Linked DNA regions of Drosophila melanogaster. The protein of the gene in region 1 interacts with the protein of each later gene in a pairwise test. Each region holds a gene or a part of one and is shown in the gene's direction. Other genes may lie near its edges.

Evidence for each region.
Region 2: the proteins of Acam (region 1) and CG17002 interact in a two-hybrid assay, tested with the Drosophila melanogaster proteins (one large-scale study listed by BioGRID).
Region 3: the proteins of Acam (region 1) and CG2225 interact in a two-hybrid assay, tested with the Drosophila melanogaster proteins (one large-scale study listed by BioGRID).
Region 4: the proteins of Acam (region 1) and CG31249 interact in a two-hybrid assay, tested with the Drosophila melanogaster proteins (one large-scale study listed by BioGRID).

What each region holds. Positions count from the first base shown.
Region 1 is NT_033777.3:25,809,956-25,813,758, forward strand, and holds Acam (androcam), read left to right. Parts: upstream 1-1,955; 5' UTR 1,956-2,033; coding exon of another isoform or gene 2,034-2,528; 5' UTR 2,529-2,688; coding exon 2,689-3,135; 3' UTR 3,136-3,179; downstream 3,180-3,803. Other genes in the region: CG5024 (uncharacterized protein), read left to right, coding at 1,250-1,747; CG17770 (uncharacterized protein), read left to right, coding at 2,034-2,528. UniProt on the Drosophila melanogaster protein: May be involved in calcium-mediated signal transduction.
Region 2 is NT_033778.4:6,983,866-6,989,481, forward strand, and holds CG17002 (uncharacterized protein), read left to right. Parts: upstream 1-2,177; 5' UTR 2,178-2,479; coding exon 2,480-2,911; intron 2,912-2,968; coding exon 2,969-3,068; intron 3,069-3,772; coding exon 3,773-3,823; intron 3,824-3,915; coding exon 3,916-4,400; intron 4,401-4,705; coding exon 4,706-4,903; 3' UTR 4,904-5,057; downstream 5,058-5,616. Other genes in the region: vimar (visceral mesodermal armadillo-repeats), read right to left, coding at 1,547-1,553.
Region 3 is NT_033779.5:21,674,444-21,679,493, reverse strand, and holds the start of CG2225 (uncharacterized protein), read left to right. Parts: upstream 1-1,963; 5' UTR 1,964-1,995; exon of another isoform or gene 1,996-2,439; intron 2,440-3,266; exon of another isoform or gene 3,267-3,628; intron 3,629-5,050. Other genes in the region: eEF2 (eukaryotic translation elongation factor 2), read left to right, coding at 1-10, 92-1,183.
Region 4 is NT_033777.3:17,685,024-17,689,214, reverse strand, and holds CG31249 (uncharacterized protein), read left to right. Parts: upstream 1-2,143; 5' UTR 2,144-2,249; coding exon 2,250-2,319; intron 2,320-2,377; coding exon 2,378-2,704; intron 2,705-2,853; coding exon 2,854-3,209; 3' UTR 3,210-3,526; downstream 3,527-4,191. Other genes in the region: CG31360 (uncharacterized protein), read right to left, coding at 3,684-3,802, 3,865-4,042.

The sequences.
Region 1 (3,803 bases):
AACCCTTTGCATGTGTGTCCTGTCCCACTACAGAAATGCAAATTATCCAAATCCCCCAAAGGTCTGTTGCCATTTCGATTGCGGCTCGGCTGTTGCTATATCGTCCTGTTTATGCCTGATTAAAGTCAAACAACAAACATATTCTGAGCTGCATTTACCAGACAATCGTATAAACATATACACATGTGGTCATCAGAATAGAATTTATTAGTTGGGAGATCTACAAATCTGCCAATTATTTTAAGCAAATTGTTTTTACTCTCCTTTAACGCAAACAACTTTTATTTATTTAGTTAGTAGCCCTAATTAATATATTACCTGCTAAGTAATACTTGGAACTATTGTTTTCCATACAAATATATAATCCCGCATCTCTGGCCCGAAAAGTCCTCTCTAATCTATGCAGAGAAATGCTTGACAGTGCCTTGTTGTGTGGCTCAACTTTGGCCCCAATCCTAAATCCTTTGTGTCCTTCGTGGCCAGGATTTGCTTCTCATTACCAAGAAGCCCCCATTGTTCGCTCCACTGGGAGGAGCACGTGTGAGAAAGGTTGATGGCCAGGGACATGGGTTTGTGCAGTTTGGTTCTCGCCTTCTCCGCTCCCAAATTATGCAAATTGCTCGAAATTTTGCATTGGATAATTTCCCTATTTGCCCGTAATGCTCAATAAAAAAAAAAAAAATACAAACACAAAAAACATTTTATGACCCAAGAGACCAACGATGGCAGCAAATGGCTGAGCAGAAAAAATACTGAACAGTTGTATAAATGCACCAACAAAAATAAAAATAATATAAAAACAGAACAAACTGCGACGCATTTAATTAAAAATGTAATTACCCATGCTTTTCAACAGCCACATTGCTCGAAGCGGTAGCCAGAGGCTATGAAAACATTATTCGGAAAATTGTTGCAAATTTAATTGTTAAATCCTGCTATATTTTACTGCGGTGTTACTGCATCACGGAGCAGTTGTAGTTTTTTCCATTTCACAAATTTATCTTACTGAAAATGAGTTTAAGAACCATGTCAGAAAAGAGCGTGGGGCAACTAACAAAAAAAAAATTTTAAAAAACTAACTAGTAATCTTTTGTTGTCAATGCCTTGAATTTTCCACAATTTCAGTCTAAATGGAAAACTGTCAATGAAAAGACAATATTTAAACACAACTATTTTCGAAAAACTAAATTTTAAAATTCATCTTTTCGGGAAATCCAAATTTTAGCCCAAGGTATACTTACAATTTGCCATGGATGACTTTGATTTCAGTAGTCCACCTCCGGAGGTACGAACAGTTCATACCCACACGCTGAATGATGAACAGCTCAAGGATTGTGAGGCGGCCTTCGCCCTCTTCGACGACGATAATGCCAAGGTCATTCCGATCAAGTTATTGAGAGATTGCCTGCGAGCCGTGGCCCACAACCCGCCGGAAAACGAGATACAGGATTATATAACCGAAATTGATACGGATGGATCCGGCGAGCTTTATCTCAGTGATTTCCTATACATCATGTCGAAACGGTACGAGAATTTGACCGTCGAAGATGAAGTTATCCTCGCTTTCAAAGTCTTCGACAAAGATGGATCTGGCTTTATACACGAGAATGAGTTCCGTCAGATAATGACTGAATATGGCGATGAAATGGAAGAGGACGAGATCGAGGAAATGATACGTGATGCCGACGCCAACACGGAACTGAAAATCGACTACGTTCGCTTTGTGACCATGATGATGGAGACGTAACACTCTCTTTGAAAAATAAAAAACATAACCGATTGTAGATCTAATCAATAAATTTCAAAAGCATGGCCAATGGAATCGAAGATCTTGAAATATCGGATACCACCAGTTTGGACTATTCTTTAAAAAAAAAAAAAAGCCAATATACAATAGATAAAATGATAACAAGAGTAGGCTTTTCTTGTTATTAAATTATAAATATGAAGTTGTGAACTAAAGTTTGTCGAAAATTTGTAGTGAGTGTTCAGTGACCCCAAAATTTTCCCACCCCCAACCCCTTCCTTTGGCCATGGATTTCGAATTCCTTACTCCGCCGCCAGAGGAACGGACCATTCGCACCCACAATCTGACCGAAGAACAGGTCAAGGATTTGGAGATTGCCTTTTCCCTGTTTGACGACCAAGACACTAAGGTTATTCCTATAACAAATCTCAGGCAACTAATGCTGTCTGTGGCCCACTATCCCAGTGATATGGAATTGCAGGAAATTCAGGCCGAGATCGATGCTGATGGATCCGGTGAGTTATATCTCAGCGATTTCCTTCACATCATGTCTCAGAGGTACGCAAACATGTCTACCGAGGATGAAATTATAGCTGCATTCAGAGTCTTTGACAAAGAAGGAACCGGCTTAATATCTGAATCGGAATTTCGTCACATAATGCAGAACATGGGGGAGCAATTGACGGATGATGAGGTGGAGGAGATCATCCGTGATGCAAATTCTGATTTGGAAGGCAATATAGACTATGTGCGATTTGTCAGAATGATGTCCACTACATAAGGAAAAAGCAGGCTTTAGGGGTTGGGAACCCGACCTGTCAGTATCAGTATCATCAAAACAGTTTCGGCTCATTCCCTTTCGTAAATTCCAACAGTCTATAGCTCTGCAAGCATTTAAAAATATCTCGATAAATACCGAAAATCTTTGAAAATTTATCAAGATGTCCGAACTAACGGAGGAGCAGATTGCCGAGTTCAAGGATGCCTTTGTCCAGTTCGACAAGGAGGGAACCGGCAAGATCGCCACCCGTGAGCTGGGCACATTGATGCGCACCTTGGGCCAGAATCCAACGGAGGCCGAGTTGCAAGATTTGATAGCTGAGGCCGAGAACAACAACAATGGCCAACTGAACTTCACTGAGTTCTGCGGTATAATGGCCAAGCAAATGCGGGAAACTGACACTGAGGAGGAAATGCGTGAGGCATTCAAGATTTTTGATCGTGATGGCGATGGCTTTATATCACCAGCTGAGCTTCGCTTTGTGATGATCAATCTGGGCGAAAAGGTCACCGACGAGGAGATCGATGAGATGATTCGCGAGGCTGATTTTGATGGGGATGGCATGATCAACTACGAGGAATTCGTATGGATGATAAGCCAGAAGTAGTACAGCTACTTTAAATGAAATAAAAATATTTGGGGTCACTGCATAAAAAAAATCGTGTATTTCTCTTCAAAAAATACAATTTACACTTCTCTGCGGTCTAACTATTTTCGAACACTTTTTAATACGCCCCCAATTATTTCAATTATATTTTTGCGGTGTGCTAGTTTTTCCTTTGCCTAATTCGGAGACCGAGAATTTTTCAAGCATGTCCTGCTCTTAAAAATGTTTGATGAAGGCACCCCATTTCGGTAATTGTGGTTGGTTTAAGGAATTTTCGCCTCGCCTTCTTCAGGTGAAAACTTTCAGCATGAAACACTCGACGTGGTTTTAGTCCGCCTTTTCGTTTCCCTGGCAAGTGGTTTTTGCTTCCACATGCGGCACCTTTGTGGCCAGACGAACAATTTTCCTGTTGCTTAAATTCAATTTGCTTATGCATTAAAATTAAATTTTACTGTGGCCTCAGCGGGCCCGGCTCGTACTCCTTGCTGGAAGCAACCTCTTGGGGTCTTTGGGGCTTGTGTCTGACTTTATAAATATTTCGTGTGTGTTGTGTACGCGCATGTATGAATTTTCAATTTTTTGAACAAGTTTCGGTTTCAGTTCAGACATGTCAAAATGTCAACTTGCTTAATTGAGAGTCCGCAAAACATCGAGCATCGCATCGCATT
Region 2 (5,616 bases), on another chromosome or scaffold:
CAATTAAAGTCCAAAGTGACTGAGCCGCAGGGAGGACGTGGCAAGCATCTCGCAGCTGGGATCTGCACAGCGAGTAAATCATGCCGCAACGGTCCAATGGCCTGCATCCTTGAATTTTATAGATGTCCTTTCATTAGATTTCAAAACAATCTATAGTAATGTCGAATAGTATTTCAATGTACTATACTTCAGGTATAAAACTTATGTAACACTTAATGAATGCTCCGAATGACAGGTCTTGAAAATCATATATTCAGCGCAAGTTTCCCAGTGCTTGCATATGAATTAAAATGAACAAGAACCACGAATTGTTTTCAGTGTGGAAATGGGTCTCGCTACGCTGGGCGCAGCTGGTGGGTTCTGTAGACAAGTGAGGTGTACAGTGGTGTGGGGATTGGGATGCAGCACCCCTCCTGAAAAAGGGGAAGTTTCGAGGCCGGGATTGCCGGCGCGTTCAAGTGCTGTTTGTTGTCGTTCTGCACAGGTTCCCCTCGGGAAAGGGTATACAAACAGTACAGTCTGTGGCCAGTGTTTATGTATGTGTTGATTCGGTGCAGTCACGTTTGAAAACTAAGAAGTTTAGAGACTTGTTTACGTTTAACAATTCTCATCGGTGACTGACCCAAATATAACACATCCAGTGCGTACGTTACACATCCAACTACACTGAGAAACACAAGAAAAAAAGGGGTTTCTTTTAGTTAGTCACAGCTTTATCTTGACAATGACTGCGCTTTGACTGCAAAGTAGTATCGAATTTTAAGCCCTTTTAAGCTTAATCTGTGAAGATTGTCCTAATTGTAATGTTTATCAACAATTCAACAAAGTTGCCATAGATTTCTCACTGTGCATGACTTCATCGTTTTGTTTGCTATATCACCCCCCGTGGGGATAAAACGAATTGTGAGGACTGCGGGGAGTGTTGCGACACGCCGGTAAACCTGGCACCTCGCAGGAGGCATATTCTCATTTATTAATGCGTCGTCACTGCTGTTCCCAGTTCCCATTCCTATTCCTCCTGTGCTGCGGTGGAGTGGGCGGCTCGGGTGGCGGGTTCGTGCAAAACGGTGGTGGCCGCTGTCTCAGCCGCACTTAATTCCCGCCAGAACTGCCGGGGCCATTAAAGGATAAAAGAGCGGGATTTCTGATTGGGAAGCGCTGACCCTGTTGGCCGCGATAAGTGGGTGCGCACAGCAGCAGGAGCACGGCATCTGCCTAATCCGACCGGCCCACTGTGCAGTGGGATGGGGAGTGGGGAGCATAAGTATTGATTTTTCTCACATGTCCCCGGCAAACACACACATCTTGTCTAGGGAGCCGCATCGCCCGCCCCCACCCCACTGCCCCTGCTCGGAGCAACTTCCTCCGACACCTGGCAGCGATTTGGAAGTTTTCGCAGCTCGTAAATGCTGCACTGCAGCCATAAAACGGCCGCTGCAATGACTCGCATGAATTGCGTTTGTTTATGCTATGGAAAAGGAATCCGGGGTCTGCTGTATGTCGTTTGGGATGCTCCATAGGCAGAGAAATGCTCGATGTTACTCACTCGCCATGTTTGCCGCCTTTGTTGATTATTCCGCTGCTGCTTCTTCCGTTTTTATGCTTTTCTGCTTTTCTTGCTCTGCGTTGGTTGCGATTCCAGGCACGTTGTATCACTGTTAGCTTGTAACAAACACTGCTGATAGGCTAATGACTGCTGCGCGCAACTGAACACATTTCACGGCTTTCTTTCAGTCGCGTCTCCGTTCAACTTCCGCAATATCCGTATAATTCGTATTATCCGTGTAATCCGTATTTTCCGAATCGCGTTCAGACGTTCACACCAACAACTGCAATTCTAGTGTGACCGCAGAGCTCGAGCTGCACGATACCTCCAATGAGAGATGCCATATCGATGCTTACGCATTTTATTAACATCGATAGACATTTCTAGAATGTCTAGACTTTAATGCTTGGATTTTCCAAAAACTATAATCTGTTTCCAAAAAGTTATCGATAAGTATCGATCAGTGTTGAAACTATTTGTATTTTATATTAAATTCTGGGGTGTGACTAGTAATATTAGGAATATAAGCTTTAAAGAAAAAATCGAATTCTTTATAAGTGATTTAGTTCGAACGTTAACTTAAGATTTGCCACCACAATCGGAAAGTAGCTATTTTCTAGCTAGCTTTGCCCATTAATCGATTGGTGGCAACACTGGTCGGCACATCCCACTCACTCAACAAATTGTTTACCACAAAAAACCGTGCTGAAAGTGAACGAAAATAAAGTGCAGCCCGGCGTCGAGCATTTGCAGTGATCCCAAGACGCCCAACCATTGATTCCCGTAGCGGTGTCCACCCGGATTCCAGCCCACCGCCACCAGCACGCCATTCCATTTGGGGAGCCTCTCGGTCGGTTCGGTCAAACAGTCGCGATTGCCCGGTCGTCCACGAACGCTTATAAAATTGGCAAGATAACTAAGCAGAGCACAAAGATGCCGCCAGCATCAGCGGTAAACAACAGCAACGCGGCCGCCCAGGCGGCGAAGGCCGAGCGGGCGGAGAAGCTGCGCGGGGCACTGAAGGGCTTCATCGTGGCGGACCGCCAGCGGCGCCAGGAGGAGTTCGAGGCTCAGTGCGAGGAGCAGCGGCTGCGACGGGAGCGCGAGGAGGTGGAGCGCCAGAACCAGGTGGCCCTGGATGACACACGCGGCCAGATAACCCGACTGGACGAGCAGCTGGCCGATCTGCACAGCCAGAAGCATCAGCTGACCGTCCAACTCAAGAAGGTGCTCAACGAGGACGAAACGCGCAAGAAGCTGGCCAAGGAGAACGAACTGTTCGCCATCCAGCAGGCGGCGGCCAGTAGCCCGGTCTTCCTGCCGCCCCTGCGCCTCCAACACCAGCACCATACGCTGATGCAGAAGGTCTCGACTGCGCAATTGTGGGATTCAGGTTCTAATGGTCCTCTTTTTTCCTCGCAGCTCCCGTCCGGCGGACAGCCAGGAAAACGTGGCAGGAGTCCATCGCCGCCGAGTCAGCAGCAGGCTTACTACAAGAGCGCCGCCAGCTACGCCCAGCAGAGTAAGCCAGGAAGAGGTCGACAATGTGGTCCCTGGGCCTCCGATACAGTGAACGCTGCCTCAGGCAGGCAGTCCAAAGTCTCATGCACGCAATTTCGGTTGGATTTTGTTAACTCGAATGCGGGATCTGCTCATAATTTGATTAGTCATTGAATTGGTTAGCACATATGTATGGTTCTTGATTTGGACGAGAGATATACGTGATTTTTGTGATGTCATCATCTCTACATTCTGATTGCCAAGCCCTTTTTTAAGCTCTATGAAATATTAGCACTAATATCAATTGAACTTCTAATTAGGAATGATTGCAAAAACATGGTTAAGTGTTAAGTAAATAATCAATTCGATATAAAGAAAGTTTCGTGCTGTTTAGGCTTTGTATTGGATGGTTTAGTTTAATGTGTTTTAATGTGCACAAAAATTACCCTATTATTTTGAAGGATATATAGTGTAGAAACGATATATATAGGGTTTCTAGCAGATAGCTCGAGTTTTAAAATTCAACTGCAAATTGGCATTGGCTAAAGGTGCGATACAATCACCGATTGATCTGTTCTGCGGAGCTTTCGCTGTTCTTCTTGATTAACTGCTCGCTAACACTCCGTCCCGTTCATGAGAAATCCATTTCACTGCGCACACTAACCTCTAACAACACAGGCACACAACTTATGTTCATTTCGTTATTTGTTTACGATCGATTCGCAGAACACGATGACTACCGTCGTGCCGCTGACTATGCTAGATTATCATGGAACAGTAAGCACCTCACTTGCAATACCAAGCCCGAGATCCTCCGTCGGAACGATCGCCAGATTCGTCAATTAAACCTCACTTTTCCTCTCTTCCAGAAACAGCGGCACAGTATCCGGGCACGGGAACGGTCTTCTACCAGACGGTCGCTCCTCCGCCGACGACACAGCACCAGGCGGACGCCCGCTTGCAGTCCATCTACAACTACAACCTTCCGTTGCGCCAGGCCTACCACGTGGACCTGCCCAGCGCCACGGTCAGCAAGCCGCCCGACTCGCAGTCGCCCAAGGCACCGTCGCAGTCGCAGCCCATGCAAGTGCTTCACATCAACCTCGACCAGCCGACCATTTCGCAGGCAGACCTGGTGGCTCAAGCCGGCGGCAGCCTCTCGGTAAAGGCCTCCCAGCCACACGTGACTATGGAGAAGCTACCGGACCGCTACCACATCGAGGTGAAGCACGACGGCCAGCCGCCGAGCCACGTCCCGCCTCCGCCACACCTGCTGCCGGAGGGCGTCATCTTCAAGCCGCTGCTCAACGAACTCTCATTGCACAGCAACGTGCTGCAGATAAGCAGCAGCCAGGTGGGTCTCATTCTCAACATTTGTGGTTAATTAGCCGTGGCAGTGTCTTAGAATTTACAACTTAGAACAAACAAGTTAGATTTACATCTTCGAAATCGAAGTTCAACGATTAGGCTCTGCGAAAATGGTTTTTAAAGCCTGAGCATCTTGAATAAGAGCTGTTTTCTATAAAACAAATTCATTGTTGCAGGTTTTCATGTTTTCATAGGAAAACGCATTAGAACCAACTTCCCAACTACTGATTAACATGTTTGATATCATTTACAAGGAAGAACTAAATATTCACTTGACTAACGCCTGGCCAGTTTCCTCCACAGAATCCGAAAACAGCGGGAAGCATCACACAGGGCTATGCCCCTGGACGAGGTGGATCCGCCCACGAGCAGCAGTTGGCTCGGCAACAGCTGGCGATGCTGCCTGGCCAGCCGGGAGCACCGTCCGGATCCGGCTCCGCCCAGCCGCCTCCTGGTCAGCAGATGCATTACACGCGGCGATTGTACTAGCCTCTAACCCCTAACCCCTTTTGTCGCTACGGAACTCGCTAACTGATATACTTACGATTTTAAATAGACATTACAACACTGACTACGCTTCCCACGTGAAGTCGGATAAACGAAATAAAGCACACAACTATGGCGTCCCTATTTTCCAATCGACAATACCATACTGATATTTGATATTGATTTGATATTTGGTATCAATGGGCTTCTGTGGTTCTGTGGTTATACCATAATAACTTTGAGGTATCGTAGTTCTAATCACCAACAGGCAAATTGATCTAACTCGAAAGAGTTTTTGAAATTCTGGGCAATAGAAATTGGATCATGTATACATATAAAAAATGACTATTATATAAAATGGTATGTACAGCTGTGTTCAGAAAAATAGCAGTGCGAGGAATACTAATTAATACAAAGGTATTTTTCCATGTCCCTTTTCGGAATTGACTTTTTATTCCACTTATTTTTGTTAAATGGAATGTGTATATAGGGAAAAAAAGAAAATCCGGTTAGTTTTTCATGTTATCCTTTTTTTATTTACTTTCTTAAGCGAAATCACAACTTTTAGGCTGTTCATAAGAATAGCAGTGTCTGGTTTTGACCAACGTAAAGTCAGGAAATGATCAATATTTTTAAAAAGTGAGTTTGATTAATTCGTACATTTAAAAGGGGAGTAAATGAAAAAAATTATATATTAGTGGGTAAAGGACAGCACT
Region 3 (5,050 bases), on another chromosome or scaffold:
CAACATGAAGGTTTGCAGCGTTTTTCATTTTCTTCTTTTTTTAAGCAGCATACAAATTTATTATTGACTTTTAAAATTTTTTCGTTTTTAGGTCATGAAGTTCTCCGTGTCCCCTGTGGTGCGCGTGGCTGTTGAGCCAAAGAACCCCGCGGACTTGCCTAAGCTGGTGGAGGGCTTGAAGCGTTTGGCTAAGTCCGATCCTATGGTGCAGTGTATCATCGAAGAGTCCGGCGAGCATATCATTGCTGGTGCCGGTGAGCTGCATTTGGAGATCTGCCTTAAGGATCTAGAGGAAGACCACGCTTGTATCCCACTGAAGAAGTCTGATCCCGTCGTCTCCTACCGTGAGACTGTGTCGGAGGAGTCCGACCAGATGTGTCTGTCCAAGTCGCCCAACAAGCACAACCGTCTGCTGATGAAAGCCCTACCTATGCCAGACGGTCTTCCCGAGGACATTGATAACGGCGATGTGAGTGCCAAGGATGAGTTCAAGGCTCGTGCCCGTTATTTGTCTGAGAAGTACGACTACGATGTGACTGAGGCCCGTAAGATCTGGTGCTTCGGCCCCGACGGAACCGGTCCGAATTTCATCCTCGACTGTACCAAGTCCGTGCAGTACCTTAACGAAATCAAGGACTCTGTTGTCGCTGGATTCCAATGGGCCTCAAAGGAGGGTATTTTAGCCGACGAAAACTTGCGCGGTGTCCGCTTCAACATCTACGATGTGACACTTCACGCTGATGCCATCCATCGTGGTGGTGGCCAGATCATTCCAACCACTCGTCGTTGTCTGTACGCTGCCGCTATAACCGCCAAGCCGCGCCTGATGGAGCCTGTTTACCTGTGCGAGATCCAGTGCCCCGAGGTTGCTGTAGGAGGAATATACGGTGTGCTCAACAGGCGACGTGGCCATGTATTCGAGGAAAACCAGGTTGTGGGCACTCCCATGTTCGTTGTGAAGGCATACCTGCCCGTCAACGAGTCATTCGGTTTTACCGCCGATCTGCGCTCTAATACCGGAGGACAGGCCTTCCCTCAATGTGTCTTCGATCATTGGCAGGTGTTGCCTGGCGATCCGAGCGAGCCCTCAAGCAAGCCCTATGCCATCGTCCAGGATACTCGTAAGCGCAAGGGTCTTAAGGAAGGATTGCCCGATCTATCCCAGTACTTGGACAAGTTGTAAAGCACCACCACCCGATCCCCCACAACATCCAAGTGCAGCTGGCTGAGCGGAAAAGCATAGAAAAATATGGAGTGACCGAATTTAACATCTTTATTCGGCAAGGCACTTGAAACATCGCCTTTGGTCAATGTTTTAAAACAAATAAAAACAATAAAAATTTTGATGATTATGAATTGTATAACATTAAATCAAGAATAAATCAAGTAAATGATTTAATACTTATCTTTACATAAATCAGAGCGCCGCTATGTGACTGACACGAGAATTGATTTTGGTTTAATTTTGTTTGCGAAAAATTTACAAATTATGCGCTCTCTTGTGTCCTTGCCATACATTAAAGCGATTTGTCGGTGACGATACCCATATACACTGGAATACGTGAATAAAGTTAGACGCATATTTTAGTTTTTATTACTTAGTCTGGTCGTCCATTTGTGAAAATAATGCAGTCAGCCGTTCCTACCGCGCCGGTGTGGGTTGAAGTCCTTGCTAAGCAATATCGCCGTTTAAGTAAAATGAATATTAACTCGATATCCGACATGACCAACAAATTTTCAGAATGTCAAGTACTAGAAATTTAGGTTTTAAGTTTATTTCTGCACTGATCTATCTATTTATTTGCTCCATTTTTGCTGATAGAAACTCTTGTTGAAAGAAACACTTCTTTGTAAACAGTCAACGACGATTTATGCTGCGCGTGTCGAAAGATATCGATAAAATATTTTGGTACATTTCTGATATCCCTAGATTTGTGAACGTTTCTCTGTCATAAACAAAAGTTTGCTTTCGTGTTGTCGGAAAGTCGGTGATAAGTAGGTTCTCTGGTCTCTGGCATGGGCATTTTCATGTGTGTTTGAGATAAAAGCCCATTGCGAAATTAGAATATTCTCGGACATAACCGTTCAAAGCCGATGGTACCGTGCTTTAAGTGTCGCCGCGGCGTCTGCCATTCGTGGACCCCCTGCCCTCTTCGCTTTGAGTTTTCTATTATTAGCAGCTTTTCGCTTCGAAAGACTTCTGTTTGACCATTTTGTGAGCCGACAGCAGAAGCTTCCGAACAACTCCAGGCAGTCGAAAAAGTCGGTTCGCCTTGTCGGCAGTTAGTGCATGTGTCTGCATTTGAAAAAATCGATGCCAGACTGCAGAAACTTCATTGAGAACGAAAAGGAGTGAGAAGATGAAAGCCAACAGCAGTAAGTTTTACTGCTAGACAATGTGGCCCTCGATTTTGTGCGTATATGGATGTAACAGTTACTGTAAGCGTTAGACATTAACTGATAACACCGGAAATGAATTTTTCCCATATTAGGGTTTTTCCCATTATACACTATTGACGCAAATTGGTCGAGTATGATTTTTGAGGCAAGCTCAGTTGCTGTTGCAAATGGTTTTCAATTGACCAAAGACGAACAAACGTGTTTTTACATGTACATACATATGTATGTATACATGTAGCCAGCCGTACAAGGTGTGTGTGTGTGGGTGGAGGTTGACGAGAATGCTTTGTGAGAGCGCCTGACTGGGGGGGACCCAAACTCTTCGCCTAGACCCCAAAGTGTATAGAAAATATGAATGAAGATGAGGCAGAGTGCGAATAGTGAGCTTCTACACTCTTCTCTCCCGAGTAGATGTTGTCTCGTTCTCCTCGCAGCACTTCATTCTCAAAATCGTTCTCCGCGAAAAATCAATGCATAAAAACGGTGAACGGTGAACAGTTTTTAATTGCCCGGAGTTGCGCGTGTGTTTACCTTTTTTGGTGTAAATGCCATAAGGATTTTTGTGAAAGGATGAAAAATGTTTAAATGTGTGGCATACAATGACAATGTACTTATATATTCACACATTCATATGTGAAATAGCAGTGCTAAGAAATACAAAGGAATTTTTCCATGTCCCTTTTTGGAATCGACTTTTTATTCCACTTATTTTTGTAAAATGGAATGTGTAGATAGGAAAAAAGGAAATCCCGTTAGTTTTTCATGTTATCTTTATTTTATTTACATTCTTTAGCAAATTCACAACTTTTAGGCTGTTCATGAGAATAGCAGATTCTGGCTTTGTCCAACTTAAAGTCCCAAAATTATCAATATAAGTTCAAGCAAGTTCAATCCTTTTGCATCCTCTGGGGACATAAAGTCTGAGCAGCACTTTGGAATCATCGAAGTTACAATTCGGAGACGACTACTGAATCAAAATTTAAGTGCTAGGAGTCCACGAAAGGTTCTCCTACTTAGCCCAAGGCATAATAAGGAAAGGTTAAAGTTCGCTAAAACCCACCTATACTGGCCAGTCTCCAAATGGTGTAAGATCCTTTGGACTGATGGGTCAAAAATTGTGCTATTTGGTGGAACTGGTTCACTACAGTATATCAGACGACCTCCAAACACGGAGTACCACCCAAAACACCAAGCCAACACTTTCAATTATGGTGGACCTAAAATACTGGTATGGGTTTGATTTTCTTTACAATGGTATTAGTCCAAAACATATGATTTTTGGTATTATAGACCAAAAAGCATATGCAAATTTACTTAGTGATGTCTTACTGTCATAAACTGAATGGAATATGCCCTTAAAATGGACATTCCAACAGGATAATGATGCAAATCGGCTAAGAATTGGTTCGACCAAAATAGAATAAAGATAAGGCCGTGGCCAGCACCATCTTCCGATTTAAACCCGATCGAAAACCTGTGGGGGTACTTTAAACAATATGTGTCAATGAACTCCCCGACGTTTAAGGCTCAGCTTTGCCAAGTTGTGCAGGATGCATGGTAAAAAAGTTGCCAGGACCTGGTGCACTCCAAGCCGCGTAGGTGAAAGCCTTTGGTGGCTGGCAGATGCTATCCAACCAAGTATTAGACCCTAATTAACACATTAAAAAGAAAAACTAAGTTCGTTATAAGTCAAGTTGAACTTTGTTACTATTTTTTTAGAATTTCTGCCTATTATGTTGTTTTAATATATATTTCGAAACTATTAATGAAATAAAAGTGAAACATTGTTGAATTGTTTAAAATTAAATACCTAATGAAATTATAAAAAAAATGATCCCAAGCTCTGCTATTTTTATGAACACAGCTGTACGTCTAGTGTTAAAATTGCAAAATAATATAGTAGTACAATTCTGAATTTAAAACTAGATTGGGCGTAAAAAAATTTTATTTTTATACATACATGTATTTGTCGGACTAAGATATGTACAGCTGTGTTCAGAAAAATAGCAGTGCGAAGGAAACTAAGTAATACAAAGGTATTTTTCCATGTCCCTTTTCGGAATCGACTTTTTATTCCACTTATTTTTGTTAAATGGAATGTGTAGATAAGGAAAAAAAAGAAAATCCGGTTAGTTTTTCATGTTATCCTTCTTTTATTTGCATTCTTGAGCAAAATCGCAAGTTTTAGGCTGTTCATAGGAATAGCAGTGCCTGGTTTGAAATGATCATTATTTTCTAAAAAGTGAGTTTGGATAAGTTAATTTATATATTTAAAAGGGCAATAAATTTAAAAAAAAAATAAAAAAAATTATATTTTAGTGGATAGAGGACAGCACTGCTCCCAGCAGAAAATAATGTAAATTCATAAGCTAAGAAAGGAAGGAAAAACATAAAGGGACATTCAAAAAACCCTTGAATGTTTTCCAAAATGGTATCCAATGCCATTAAATATGAATGGAAGCCCGAAACCCGTGGTACCAAACAAAAAACCACAGATATAGAGGATCGACGCATAGTTCGTTAGAGCAACGCCTATCCTTTTGCATCCTCTAGGGACATAAAATCTGAGCTGAACTTGGGAATCAGTGACGTTACTATTCGGAGACGACTACTGAATCAAAATTTCAGTGCGAGGAGTCCACGAAAGGTT
Region 4 (4,191 bases), 8.1 Mb from region 1:
AGGAATAACTAACACATACATATGCATACGCACGCTACGGTTTATCGTATATTAAATATATATATAAATAAATGCATAAACTAACATTAAATTACATGAGAATGAATTGTGTATGTAAAAGGGATGAATGCATACATACGTACATCTAGACATTGATATATAAATACATAGAGGATAGTTTTTAAATTCTACCACTTACTAATACCTACATATTACCACAATGTGCAGCATAGGAACTCATAAACTGATCGAACTGAACGAACACCAAAGTTCACGCGGAAATATTTAAAAGCAACACGTATATAAGGCAGTTTATTGGATTCAATGTGGTCTAAATGTTGCAGAAGGACGAATCCTTAGAGATGACTAAAAACCATTGTACATACTTAACTATTATGTAAATTTCACTGTATTTTTGTTTTTACGCAATGTTACAAGGCACATGTAAGTGGCAGCACTGCATTTTGTATTATGTTTATGTGTATGATGTTGTATGATGTATTGATGGGCTGCGAAAATTCCAACTTCTTAGTTTTAATCGCATAACTCGGAGGCGAATGGAAATGAAATTAAGCGAGAGAAACAAGCAAACAAGCAAAAATGAAAAACCCTCAGATGAAGGCAAGCAAACAATTTAAATTGAAATCAAATTAGGTGATATAATATATAAAAATACATAACATATACATACATAATTAATATAAACGAAACATGAAAAATCGAAAAAATGAAACCCTAATGCTGTAATCTTATGTTAACTGTATTATTTGCTGGAAGTGCTGCTGCTTCGTTTTATTTTATATCGAACTTACTTAAGGCGTAAATGACAAGATAAATAATTAGGTTTTTATCTTAATCTTAATTTAAAATGCAAAACAAATAAAACCAAGAAAACAAAGCAAAACAAAACGAAACCATAAAATGCTATAAAACACAAAGCGAAGCAAATCGAACTAAAGCTGTAGAGAAGCACGCAAAAAGGACTAATAACCACACATCCACACCCACACCCAAAATGCTTGGCGTTAGGAAACCAATAAACAATTAATGCAAAACCATACATGGGTGGGTGCACCAATTTGTATACTAAACTTTCTCACACATAATTAACGTGCTACATAAGAGATCGAAAATGAAATGTCTCCAGATTCTGGCATGAGCAAGTCTAGAGGTCCTTCCGGTTTCCGGTGGCGATCCTCTGGATCCAGAGGAACTGCAAGATATTGGGAGATAATAGGAAACTGCTGCTGTTGATACGTGTATTCGTGTAGTTGTTTGCAAACAAATATTATAACTCAGCATCTCGATATATAACGTGTAGTTATTAGTCTATAATTTGCTAGGATGTAAATGTATGTCCCTCAAACTTAATTTAATTATTTAATTAATATACATACATATATGATATACAATACAGCCTTTGTACTTGTCGTTTCTTATCGCTGATAAGGGAAAAATATTTTTTGGCGGGGAAATACTTTTTAGAACTCATTTCGATTTTTTCAGTGCAAATCAATTGGTCAGATTGATGAATCCTATGGTAACGCATTCCCAAAATATTTCTTATTATATTATTATAAACTATATTGCTTCTGTTCAGCGTAGGACATTCACTGTTGAGCGAAAGATTATTATATAAATGTATATTCGAGATAATATGCAATTGAGCACCTAAATACCATGTCTAGGTTTTCAAAAATGTCTAGTAACAAGATCTTTTGTCTGTTATTAGGCTGTACTTTCAGCATTGAGGTCGATGTTACTCGATTGGGAATTTGTGCATTGTATTTACAATGTCAATTTGTTCAAATTTACAATTTCAAAAATCAATTTTAAAAGAACTTACATTAATATTAAGAATTCGCGTGTTCCGGGATAAATTTGACTTTTTTAATTAATTGACAATTTTAATCGGTCAATGAAGAGCTTTAAAATTGTATTAATAGTTCTTCAATTAATTGAATAATATGATGTGCAAAAAAATAATTATCGGAAAAAATACTTTTTGACAGTAAGTAGTTTCTTACAAAATATTTGATTTAAAAATTATATATCGATACTTTTTCGAGATTATTAAATTCGAACAGCTTTATCACAGCAAGTTGGCAGCCCAATTTCTACGTCGATAAGTCCTCTCGTTTAATGTTCCATCCCTTAAATTTGGGCGATAAGAATAAGCACAGCCGGCTGTAACATTTTTTGTAAATTAACAGAGCGAATCGATTTTTGTATAGTAATCCGTTGAAAGCATGCTGTCGCTCAAGATGAAACTCGAGGTACTGGGTCGTCCCGATGTTGACATCCCGGTGGTGATGAGCGGTAATTGTCTAGTTTTCCTGATGGGGCTATAAGTCATCCCATTCTTTTCGTTCCGCAGACCGCAAGGAATTCGCCAACACAGTCCTCTGGTTGGAGGACCAGAAGATCCGGCTTTACTCCATAGAGGATCGCTGTAAGCTGCGCACTGTCGACAACCCTGAGATCTGGAAGGAGGGTTACTTAAAGTACTGTGCCGATTTGAGCATGCCGCCCCTGGAGACGCGGCAGGAGCAGCTGGCCTGGATTGTCAGCTATGCTGTGCGCCTGGACTTCCTCGATGATCCTGATCAGTTTGCCTCGATTAACACCAAACAGGTGCCACCCCAAAGCAATGGCAAGCAGTCCCAACAAAGGGTCCAGGCTATTTTCGATGGAAATATTAATAGTATGGTCTGATTTTAACTAAATTTACCATTTAAGGAACTTTAAATTTATATATTATGGATTTTTTAAGAGGTTCCAAAAACCACTTTTATTATCTATAGATGATAATCAGGTAAAGTACAACAAGTATTAATTCTTTCTTCCCACCAGCTCAGGAAAAAGCGTTCGTGGATGGAGTCCGGCTGCTGGCCAGCAAACTGAATGTGCCGCACCACCCGAACCATCTGTTGCAGCTGGAGGCTATCGCTCGCGTGGTGCACGAACGCCTCTCGCCCGCCGCCAAGGATCGCAAGCCGGTAGTGGGTAAACCCTTCCCTTTTGACAAGGGAAACGACGTCGTCTCGTCCAACGACTCTGCCCTGGACCTGCCCATGCGCATACTACGTCTTCTCCAGATCCAGAGCCTACGCGAGCTGCAGACACACATCAATGAGACCATTGTGGCGGTGCAGAACATCACGGCCAATCCAAAGACTGATACCAAGCTGGGGAAAGTGGGATTCTAGACGATTAACAGTAAAGGAACGCAATCGACACAATATAACATAAAAGGACATAAAGAACATAAAAGTTTTAAAATTGCATCTATAAAATATCCTTTAAAGCCAAGCAACAACATTTAGCAGAAATCAATAGATAGATCAACAGCCAAGCTATGAACAAGCAAACACCTTTTTTGAAAGCTATAAAATAAGAATCCTGTTGATATTTTATAATATTATTATTAATACAAACATATGTTTATTTATGATCCTCTTTCAAAAGATGCAATATTGTGTATGCCTATGTAATTAATTTATTTAAAATAAATCATAAATTCATTAAAGCAAACAAGGTTTTGTTTTCAACGATTTTAAATAGAAAAAATTCTAAAAACAAGGTTACAGCTATATTATTGTAATGCCACATGGTCGTACAAAAGAAAACATTAACCTTTATATATTAAGTGACTCTACGATTATAATTAAAACGTCATTGAATTAACGTCTAGAAAAGAACTGATGATCAGTGCTAGTATTTTCCTGTTCTTTTGGCTTCTCGGCGGTTGCCTTCAGGAAATTCGCGTCTGCCAGGCGGGCCACGCCCAGAACTCCAACGGCTATGGCGACGAAGGAGAAAGGAGTAAACATAAGACCGGATTTAAGATCCCAAGTGGCTCACCTGCAGCCAAGCCTTTCATAGTGAAATTCTCCAGAGGTTTCGCTTGTCTTTTTTTCGACTGTGCCAATAGGAAGGCACCAATTCCCAGGAGTCCAAGGCCACTGACCAGACGGCAGGCCAAGCAGTCCACCTCGTTGGAAACGTTGTCCTTGTTCCAAAAAGAAAGTCTACCGATCATTTTTAAAATTATTTCAATAATAACAATTTGGGAATGGATTTGGAAAATAAGGCGACAACTATCGATATACCAAGTTTGTCGCAGGGCTGCCAACTTGATTGTGTTAACTAAACTAGGTTTTTTGTTAATTCGATCAACAAATGCTTTAT